Linked DNA regions of Canis lupus familiaris. Each later gene encodes a partner of the first gene's protein in a complex. Links are inferred from orthologs where the notes say so. Each region holds a gene or a part of one and is shown in the gene's direction. Other genes may lie near its edges.

Region 1 (4,135 bases):
TCGGGGACACTGCCCAACAAGGAAGCTACCTTTCCCTCCCCCTTTCCCTGATACCTGGCAAGCTGGGTATATTCTCCCAAAAGGTTCCCACCCAGTGGCTCAGACAGGCGTAGTGTCTCTGCAGGGTCCCTTGCAATGAAGTCAAATGCCTCAGGCAGGAAAGCCAGGCAAGCACCCAGTCTGGCAGCCTCTCGAACAAGCTCGGCGCATGTTTTAAAGTTCTCCTGCTTGTCTGGTGTTGATGTTACCTGGCACACAGCCACCAGCGGCAGTTCCCAGGAAGAAGAGGAGATAGCCATGGCTCTGGGACTGTGAATGGCACGGGCAGGGCTCAGACTTCCAGAATGGGGAAATGCAAATTTAACAATCAGAGTCTTAAGTGGGGGAGCAGGAGGGCTGCGCTGCCCTTTGGTTTCTGCTTTTCAGGGCTCCCCACTGATGAAATGTTCTGTGATGGTTGGCACCCCAGTGTATCCCACCATCTATGCACATCACAGACATTTACTGAACATCTATTAAGTGTCAGGCGCCAAGGACAGAGCAAAACATGTTACCTGGGCTGTGCACAAAGTACTGAGAGTCGAGGTATCCGGAGTCCAGGACACAAGAGAAGGGGCAGGAGCTGGTGAGGAGGCCTGATGATGAAGCCCAGCCTGAGGAAGGTGAGAAATCAGGACACCACTCCCGCGCTCAAGCAGCACATTTCCAGGATTCTCTGACTCCTCTCTTCATACTGGGAGGCTGAAGCAGGGCCCTCGCAGAGAAACACCCCCCCTCCCCACCAAGTCTTACTGGGAGTAATTATGGGCTACAGGAAGACTCATAAAGTGGGAAGACAGAGGAAGGGGCTTTGCTCGGCACCTGTCTCGGCTCCAGTGGGCTCGTATTAGATTGAAGCCCCCCCACCCCCACCCCGCCCCCGCCCCCACCTGCCCGCCCGGGGGAACATACCCGCGGTTCAAAAGGCATCCCCAAGAAACCTCCCTGCTCTCCCCAGCCTCTCCCCTTCACTGGGCACCTGCACGGCGGCACTGCTCAGCGGATGCCCCCTTACCCCGATCTCCGAGGGGAAGCTCACCGTCCCTCGCCCCTCCCACCCCGTGGGGGGCAAAGGGCACCGGCACCCACACACATCCCAGCCCGCGCCCCCACGCTCCGGTCAACCCGGCCTCTCCGCCTCTCCCAGGCGCAGCGGCTCCCTTGCACGGGTTAAAGCCCCGCAGCGGAGTGCACCGCTGGGTCCTACATGAGGATAGAGCCGAAACCGTCGGCAGCGTCCGACCGGAGGAGCGGCCTGGAAGCGGCGGCCCCGGGGCCAGGGGGCGGCAACCTCCAGGCCGGATGTGACGCACGGGGGCGGGGCCGCGCAGGCCGGAAGCGCAGCGGGCGGCGAAGATGGCGGAGAGCAGCGGTCGCGCCGGCAAGAGCAGCGGCGGCGGCGCGGGGAAAGGGGCGGTGTCGGCAGAGCAGGTGAGGAGCGGAGGGCGCGAAGGAGGGCAGCCGGGCCGGGCCCGAGTCGGTGCGAGGAGCGGGCGGCGCCGCTGGCTGGGGCAGGCCCCGCGCGCGTCCCGGCGTGGCGGGGCCGCCCCGAGAGGGGAGGGTCCTCGGAGAAGCTGGCCGGGTCCGGGGGAGAGCGCGGGAGGGTTGGTCGGTGAAGGCCACGCCCCCCCCGGGGTGCAGGGTGAGCCGGCCCGGGGCCCGAGCCCGGCGGGAGGGGAGGGGAGGGGAGGGAGGGGAGAGGAGGGAAGGGAGGAGAGGGAGGGGGAGGGGCGGGGGGCGGGCGTGGCTCTGCCTACCTCCCCGCACCCTCCCGCAGGATAGGCCGGGCCCGGCGGCTCGGCACGAATCCCCGGGGATGAGCCGGCGGGCTGGCCGTGTGGCCTGTTCGGTGACCCCGGCACCACGCTGACCGTCGCCCTCACTCTGCAGAGCCACGTGACTCGCATGCCCCAGCAGTCCGCCGTCCCATACTATTTTGACCCGCACGTCGTTATTAGATTGGATTTCCTGAGCGACCAGAAACCGTGTTGTAACCCGAGTTTGCATCTCCCCCAGTGTCTCAGCAGCGGGAGACGTGTGATAAACAACCCGGAGAGCCTTTTGTGGCGCGCGGGGAGCCCTGGTTTGCTAATGGCGGGGCTAGTGTGTAGTCTGGGTGGCAAGAAATCCCCGCGACAGAAGGGAAAACCTAAGACAACAGCTCTTCTCGCTGCAGGCTCGCTCGCTTGTCAGTTATTTGTCGAATAGTCACCGCAGGCAAAGGTGTCTCCATAAAGATTTTTCAAGTTGGCCCACGCCATCAAAGAGCTCACAGTGAAATAAGACCTACTAAGTGCTAACATAAGGCCGAAGATGAGTGTCCTAACAGGTATAAAGTGCTGTGGGATTTTTAAAAAATATTTTATTTATTTATTCATACAGACACAGGCAGAGGGAGAAGCAGGCTCCATGCAGGGAGCCCAACGCAGGACTCCATCCCGGGTCTCCAGGATCAGGCCCTGGGCTGAAGGCAGGGGCTAAACAGCTGAGCCCCCCCGGGCTGCCCAGTGCTGCAGGACTTTGGGGGGGGGGAACGATAGTTTCTGCCCCCCGACCCGTGTGTTGTGGTGGGAGGAAAAGGAGAAGGAACCTAATACTTTCTGAGGGGTGGCTAAGAGCATAAGAAGTGCCCTAGGGTTGGCGGATCTGTTTTAGAATCACGGTTCTGCTATTTATTATGTGTAGATGACCTCCCATGAGTTCCCTCTCTCACCTTGTAAAAATTTGGCAGTTCATACTTCATCACTGTTTTGATTATTATTAGACAAGAAATGCATGCAAAGTGTTTTGCACAGTAATGAGTATAGTGTTTGTTTTTCTGGGAGAGATAATCCTTCAGTTCTAAAGGATGAGAGAAGTTAGTCAAGCAAAGAAAGAAGCGGAGGGACCCCTGGATGGCTCAGCGGTTTGGCATTTGCCTCCAGCCCAGGGTGTGATCCTGGAGACCCGGGATTGAGTCCCACGTCGGGCTCCCTGCATGGAGCCTGCTTCTCCCTCTGCCTGTGTCTCTGCCTCTCTCTGTCTCTCTCGTGAATAAATAAATAAAATCTTAAAAAAAAAAAAAAAAAAGAAGGAAGTGGAGAATTTCCTAGGCAGAGACTAATGTCCTTAAAAGCAGTGAGGCATGAACCTTTCTGGCCTGTTGGGGATGCAGGTGGGCTTAAAGTATGGGGTGGACTGCAAGACTTCAATGTGAAGAAAACGGGATAGAGAGGAAACTAGAATGTTTCTCAGATTTATGTCTTTGATGGATGCTTGTTCATAGGCAATGTAGGAAGATAGGAAATGCCTAGGGGGGTGGGGAATATGTTTCTCTTGGGGTTTTGAGTTTGGATTTCTTGTAGGACATTCAAGTAGAGGTATTTAATAGTTGGTTTGATTTATAAATTTTGAATTACATTTGAGTCAGAGAACTATAAGCTTATGGAAGGCTGATAAAGTCATGGTAATGGGGGTAGCCCCGGTGGCGCAGCAGTTTGGCGCTGCCTGCAGCCTGGGGTGTGATCCTGGAGACCCGGGATCGAGTCCCACATCGGGCTCCCTGCATGGAGCCTGCTTCTCCCTCTGCCTGTGTCTCTGCCTCTCTCTCTCTATGTCTATGAATAAATAAATAAAATCTTAAAAAAAAAAAAAAAAGTCATGGTAATGGGCAAAATCATCTAGGGTTTGTGCAGAAAGTTGAAAAAAGAAGCAGCAGAACAAGGATGGAACCAATATTTAAGGGGTTATGGAGAAAGAGAAGAAGCCCTCCAAAGAAAGCGAGCAGTTGTGATAATTGAGTTCTGAGGCTGTTCTTGCTTAACATTCTATGGCCTTTGTGTTTCAGAGAGAACACTGGATAAAAAATGTAAGATTTATTGGGGCACCTGGCTGGCTCAGTACATAGAGCATGTGATTTTTGATCTTTGGGTTGTGAGTTCAAGCCTCATGTTGGGCCTAGAGCTTACTTAAAATGTTTTTTAAATTTTTTTATTTACTTATTCATGAGAGACACAGAGAGAGAGAGAGAGAGAGAGAGGCAGAGACACAGGCAGAGGGAGAAGCAGGCTCCATGCAGGGAGACTGATGTGGGACTCAATCCCAGGACCCTGGGATG
Region 2 (3,687 bases), on another chromosome or scaffold:
GGCAGTCTAAGACTGGCACTGAGATCCAGCAAGGTCACCCTCATGTATTCTCATAGTGGCTGTGTCATCTCAGGCCTCATGTCCATAGGCCAGGCTGCAGGAGCAACAGAGGGCTTTCCATACATGGCCTTGCTTTCTATTTCAAAATAATGCTGTCGTCCTCAGAGACTTTTGACATCTCATTGGCCAGAACTAAGTCATGTGGCCACCATAGCTGCAAGGGAGCCTGGCAGAGGCACTTTTACTTTTCACATCCCCTGCCATAGAGATTGCACTGAAAATGGAGGTTTGAGGAGAGTGAGCCTCTAGAGTGTGCCACAGCCTGGGTACTTAGCATGTTACTCAAATCTTCGCAGGCATGATCCTGGGGGCTCTTTGGAGGAGCATCATAAAAGTACAAAAGGGAGGGTACAGATGGGTCCTTGGCTGGAAAAACGAAAGATTATGCATATTCCCCCATCAAAAATGTATGTGCCAAGAGGACCAGCAAGTTCGCCTCTGTCCCTGAAGGCAGAGGCTCCCTATCCCTGTTGAAATAAAATTATAGCAAAGGAGACTAGATCACCTTAGAGAAGTTTCCACCTTCCTGTTGAAAAAATACACACTACTGTTATGACTATAAAATTAAGAGTCGTCATTGCACTTGGGTGGTGGGCTGCTGGCCACTCAGGTTCTCAGCTGTCTTGGCCCACAGTTGTGGGTTGTTGCCATACCTAGAAGGATTCTGAGATATTATCATCACCAGTTCTTAGGGGTTGATGCAAGTTAAATAAGCTTGTAAGAGACTAGCGTTGCTCATTTACCATGAGTACTAGAACCATTGCCCAGGCCAGAGGGCTCGGCTGCTCAGAGCTTCTCTCCATCAGAAAGAATGAAAATCTGTGGAGAAGACCAACTAGCCAGCACTACACTCATGAGCAGGTGAAGTCAGGTGACATTAGGCAGTTGCATCACCAAGCTTTGTAGCCTGTACTTCCTATAGTGCAGTTTGCCTTCAGATGTGATCCATCTGGGCAAGATAACCTTTTCTGTTCACCACAGTTAATTAGATTAAGCTTGAGCACCTGATTTGCCCATTGATTGTTCAGATCACATGTTACTATGGTCATGTTGCTTAAAAACTGCTTAGGTTTTTGATGGACTTAGGTTTGTAAGATTCCTTAGCCACACTTTGTCCAATCATCTTGGATGTGCTGAGTCTAGGTTCTTCATTCTGGTCTGATGGTTCTGTTTTCTGGAATTTCACTGTGGGAGGGGGTCCTAAAGTCCAGATATTGCCTTCTCCACCTATGAGCAGCCCAGGGTACATTGCATAATGAAAACAGGTCACTGGATGGAGAGGCGGGTGCTCAGTTCTGCCTGGACTCACTCAGCCGCCTTGGGCAGACCACCTCCCTTTCTCTAGCCCTTTAGTTCCTTCCTCAGTTGGTCTCTGAAGTCCCCTTCTTCTCGAATGCCAGGAGCCCTTGCTTTCAAGGAGGCTAGGAGAAGCTGACTTCCCCAGCTGCCTTTGGTCAGTGTGTCTGTAGTATAACCCCATCCGGTGCCCACCTCATTTTTTTCAGATCAGGATCATCTGGATAAAGAAATAGAGAAACTCCGGAAACAACTTAAAGTGAAGGTCAACCGCCTCTTTGAGGCCCAAGGTATGGGCCTGGAGGGAACTGGAAGCCGGGCTGGGAGAGAACTGTCAATGTGGGAGGCCTTCCTAGGTAGGCGGGCGAGGGCCTAGGCAGCATGTGAGCCGCACAGAGGCTATTGGCAGGCCCAGAGATGGAATGGACAAGGTTTATGGGGTCTTATTCCTCTCACGAGTCTTTTTTCCAGCCATAAGGGGAACAGTCTGGGGTATCTCACATTATATCCTGGGCGTGGTATAGGAACCAGAACAGTTCTGTCTGAGGGGAACAGAGAGGGCCTCAGTCAGATGGTCAAGGTCAGAGCTGAACTTCTGGGTAAAGCTAACCACTCCAGATTGGTCACAGGTTTGGCAGAAATTGGTAGGTTTCTGGGCAGCAGTATCATGGCTCTGCAGGTTTTCGGTGACTCATGTGCCCTGTCCAACGCATTGCAGAATTTGAGGCCCTCCCCCACTAGATCTTGGGCCAAGTGTTTGGCACATGAATGCAGCATAAACCCCTTTCCTGGGCCTGACTCCAGAGCCAGCAGGAGGTTGGACAACAGGAGGCCCAACTTGCTGATGATTGTTTTCTCCCCCTAGGCAAGCCAGAGCTGAAGGGTTTTAACCTGAGCCCCCTCAACCAGGATGAACTTAAAGCTCTGAAGATCATCTTAAAAGGATGAAACTCAAAAACCAAAATGAGGGATCTAAGACAGCATCCCCCCTGAGGTCATGGCGGACCCAGGACTCTCCAACTTTGTAACCTGCAAGGACATGAACTACTCTGCTAGGAGATAGGCATCAGGAGTCTGAGCATGAGAAGCCTCTGTCTGTGGGGATTGGCTGCTCTGTGATGGCAGGAGGGAGCCCTCAGCCTGCCAGTGTCTGTTGGGTCTGGCCACTGGAGTTGGATGGACACAAGACCCATTGATAGGTCCTGGCAGCCACCAGTGGTGGGTGGGGGCAGTGCTTTGGGGGTGTGAGAATGACCGAAACAGGCACTTATAACAAGAGCCTGCTGTTCACATGGGCCCCTGGCAGTGGCGGGGGAGTGACGGGGAGCATGATTCCTGCATTCCTTTCAGGAAGAGAGGCATTCTCAAACATCATGTAATGGACTTGGAATAAAGCAGGAGGCTCACAGGTAGGTGGTTTCTGAAAGGATAGAATCTTGGTGCTCCATCGTTCACCACAGCCATCTGTGGGGCAGACATACCATTCCCCACCACTGCCTCCACTTTGGCCCCTTTTTTTCTGCTTGCCCCTCAGATGGAGCCCAGAGTGGGTGCTGCTTATCAAACTCCTGCACTTGCTGTTTAGTCAGGAAAGCCTTACAGAGTTCTGTACTGGGGGTGGGAGAGGGAGCTGCCTCTTCATGAGGCCCTCCACCACCTCTGAAGGCTGGGCCTGGCCAGCACCACTCAGTTCCCGCCTGCCCTCAGTGGTCTCGGATCTTGGTGTGAATGTGCTGTGAGGACAGCACCATCTCTTTAATGTTCATTGAGGGCTTAATAAATGTTTCCTAAATGAATGAACAGGAGCTTCTGTTCTTTACCTAATCTCATTCTTAATGGAGGGCACACTGCCTCAAGCACACCACTACAAAGGGGCAGTGGCTCCTGCTGGGAAATGATAGCAGGATTAGATAGGCAGTAACAGTGATGGCGGCAGAATGGAGAGCACGTGCCTCACCTGGGTCCCCTCACCCCACTTGGCTCCAACCCATAATTATATGGAAACACAAGCTGGTATGGCCAGATCTTAACATTTGTTTTCAGAGAAGCTAGAAATTTGGATTTTTAAGTTGAATCTTTTCTGTCTTTTAAATATTGCTAATGCAGACATTTTTAAAGACTTGGGTGTTGGCCAAACAGAATACCTGACATAAGCCAAATTTGACCCATGCCTATGATTTTACATCTTCAGTTTTTAAAGTAGAAGTAGCATGTGTTTTCCCCATGATGACCCTAAAGTGGGCAGGTGGAATTGGAAGCTAGATGTCTGCCCATAGTAGATTAGTTAAACGAACTGATAGCTGCAGACAGTGGAGTACAGTACATATATCA

Evidence for each region. The genes of interacting proteins can lie anywhere in the genome.
Region 2: PFDN2 (region 1) and PDRG1 share a complex: the UniProt entries of both Homo sapiens proteins name them as parts of the PAQosome complex. The link is inferred for Canis lupus familiaris from reciprocal best matches to the Homo sapiens genes PFDN2 and PDRG1.

Annotation. Positions count from the first base shown.
Region 1 is NC_049259.1:22,183,232-22,187,366, forward strand, and holds the start of PFDN2 (prefoldin subunit 2), read left to right. Parts: upstream 1-1,328; 5' UTR 1,329-1,395; coding exon 1,396-1,470; intron 1,471-4,135. Other genes in the region: NIT1 (deaminated glutathione amidase), read right to left, coding at 55-309, 555-653, 1,247-1,248. UniProt on the Homo sapiens protein: Binds specifically to cytosolic chaperonin (c-CPN) and transfers target proteins to it. Binds to nascent polypeptide chain and promotes folding in an environment in which there are many competing pathways for nonnative proteins.
Region 2 is NC_049245.1:21,881,849-21,885,535, reverse strand, and holds the end of PDRG1 (p53 and DNA damage-regulated protein 1), read left to right. Parts: intron 1-1,565; coding exon 1,566-1,646; intron 1,647-2,221; coding exon 2,222-2,304; 3' UTR 2,305-3,156; downstream 3,157-3,687. UniProt on the Homo sapiens protein: May play a role in chaperone-mediated protein folding.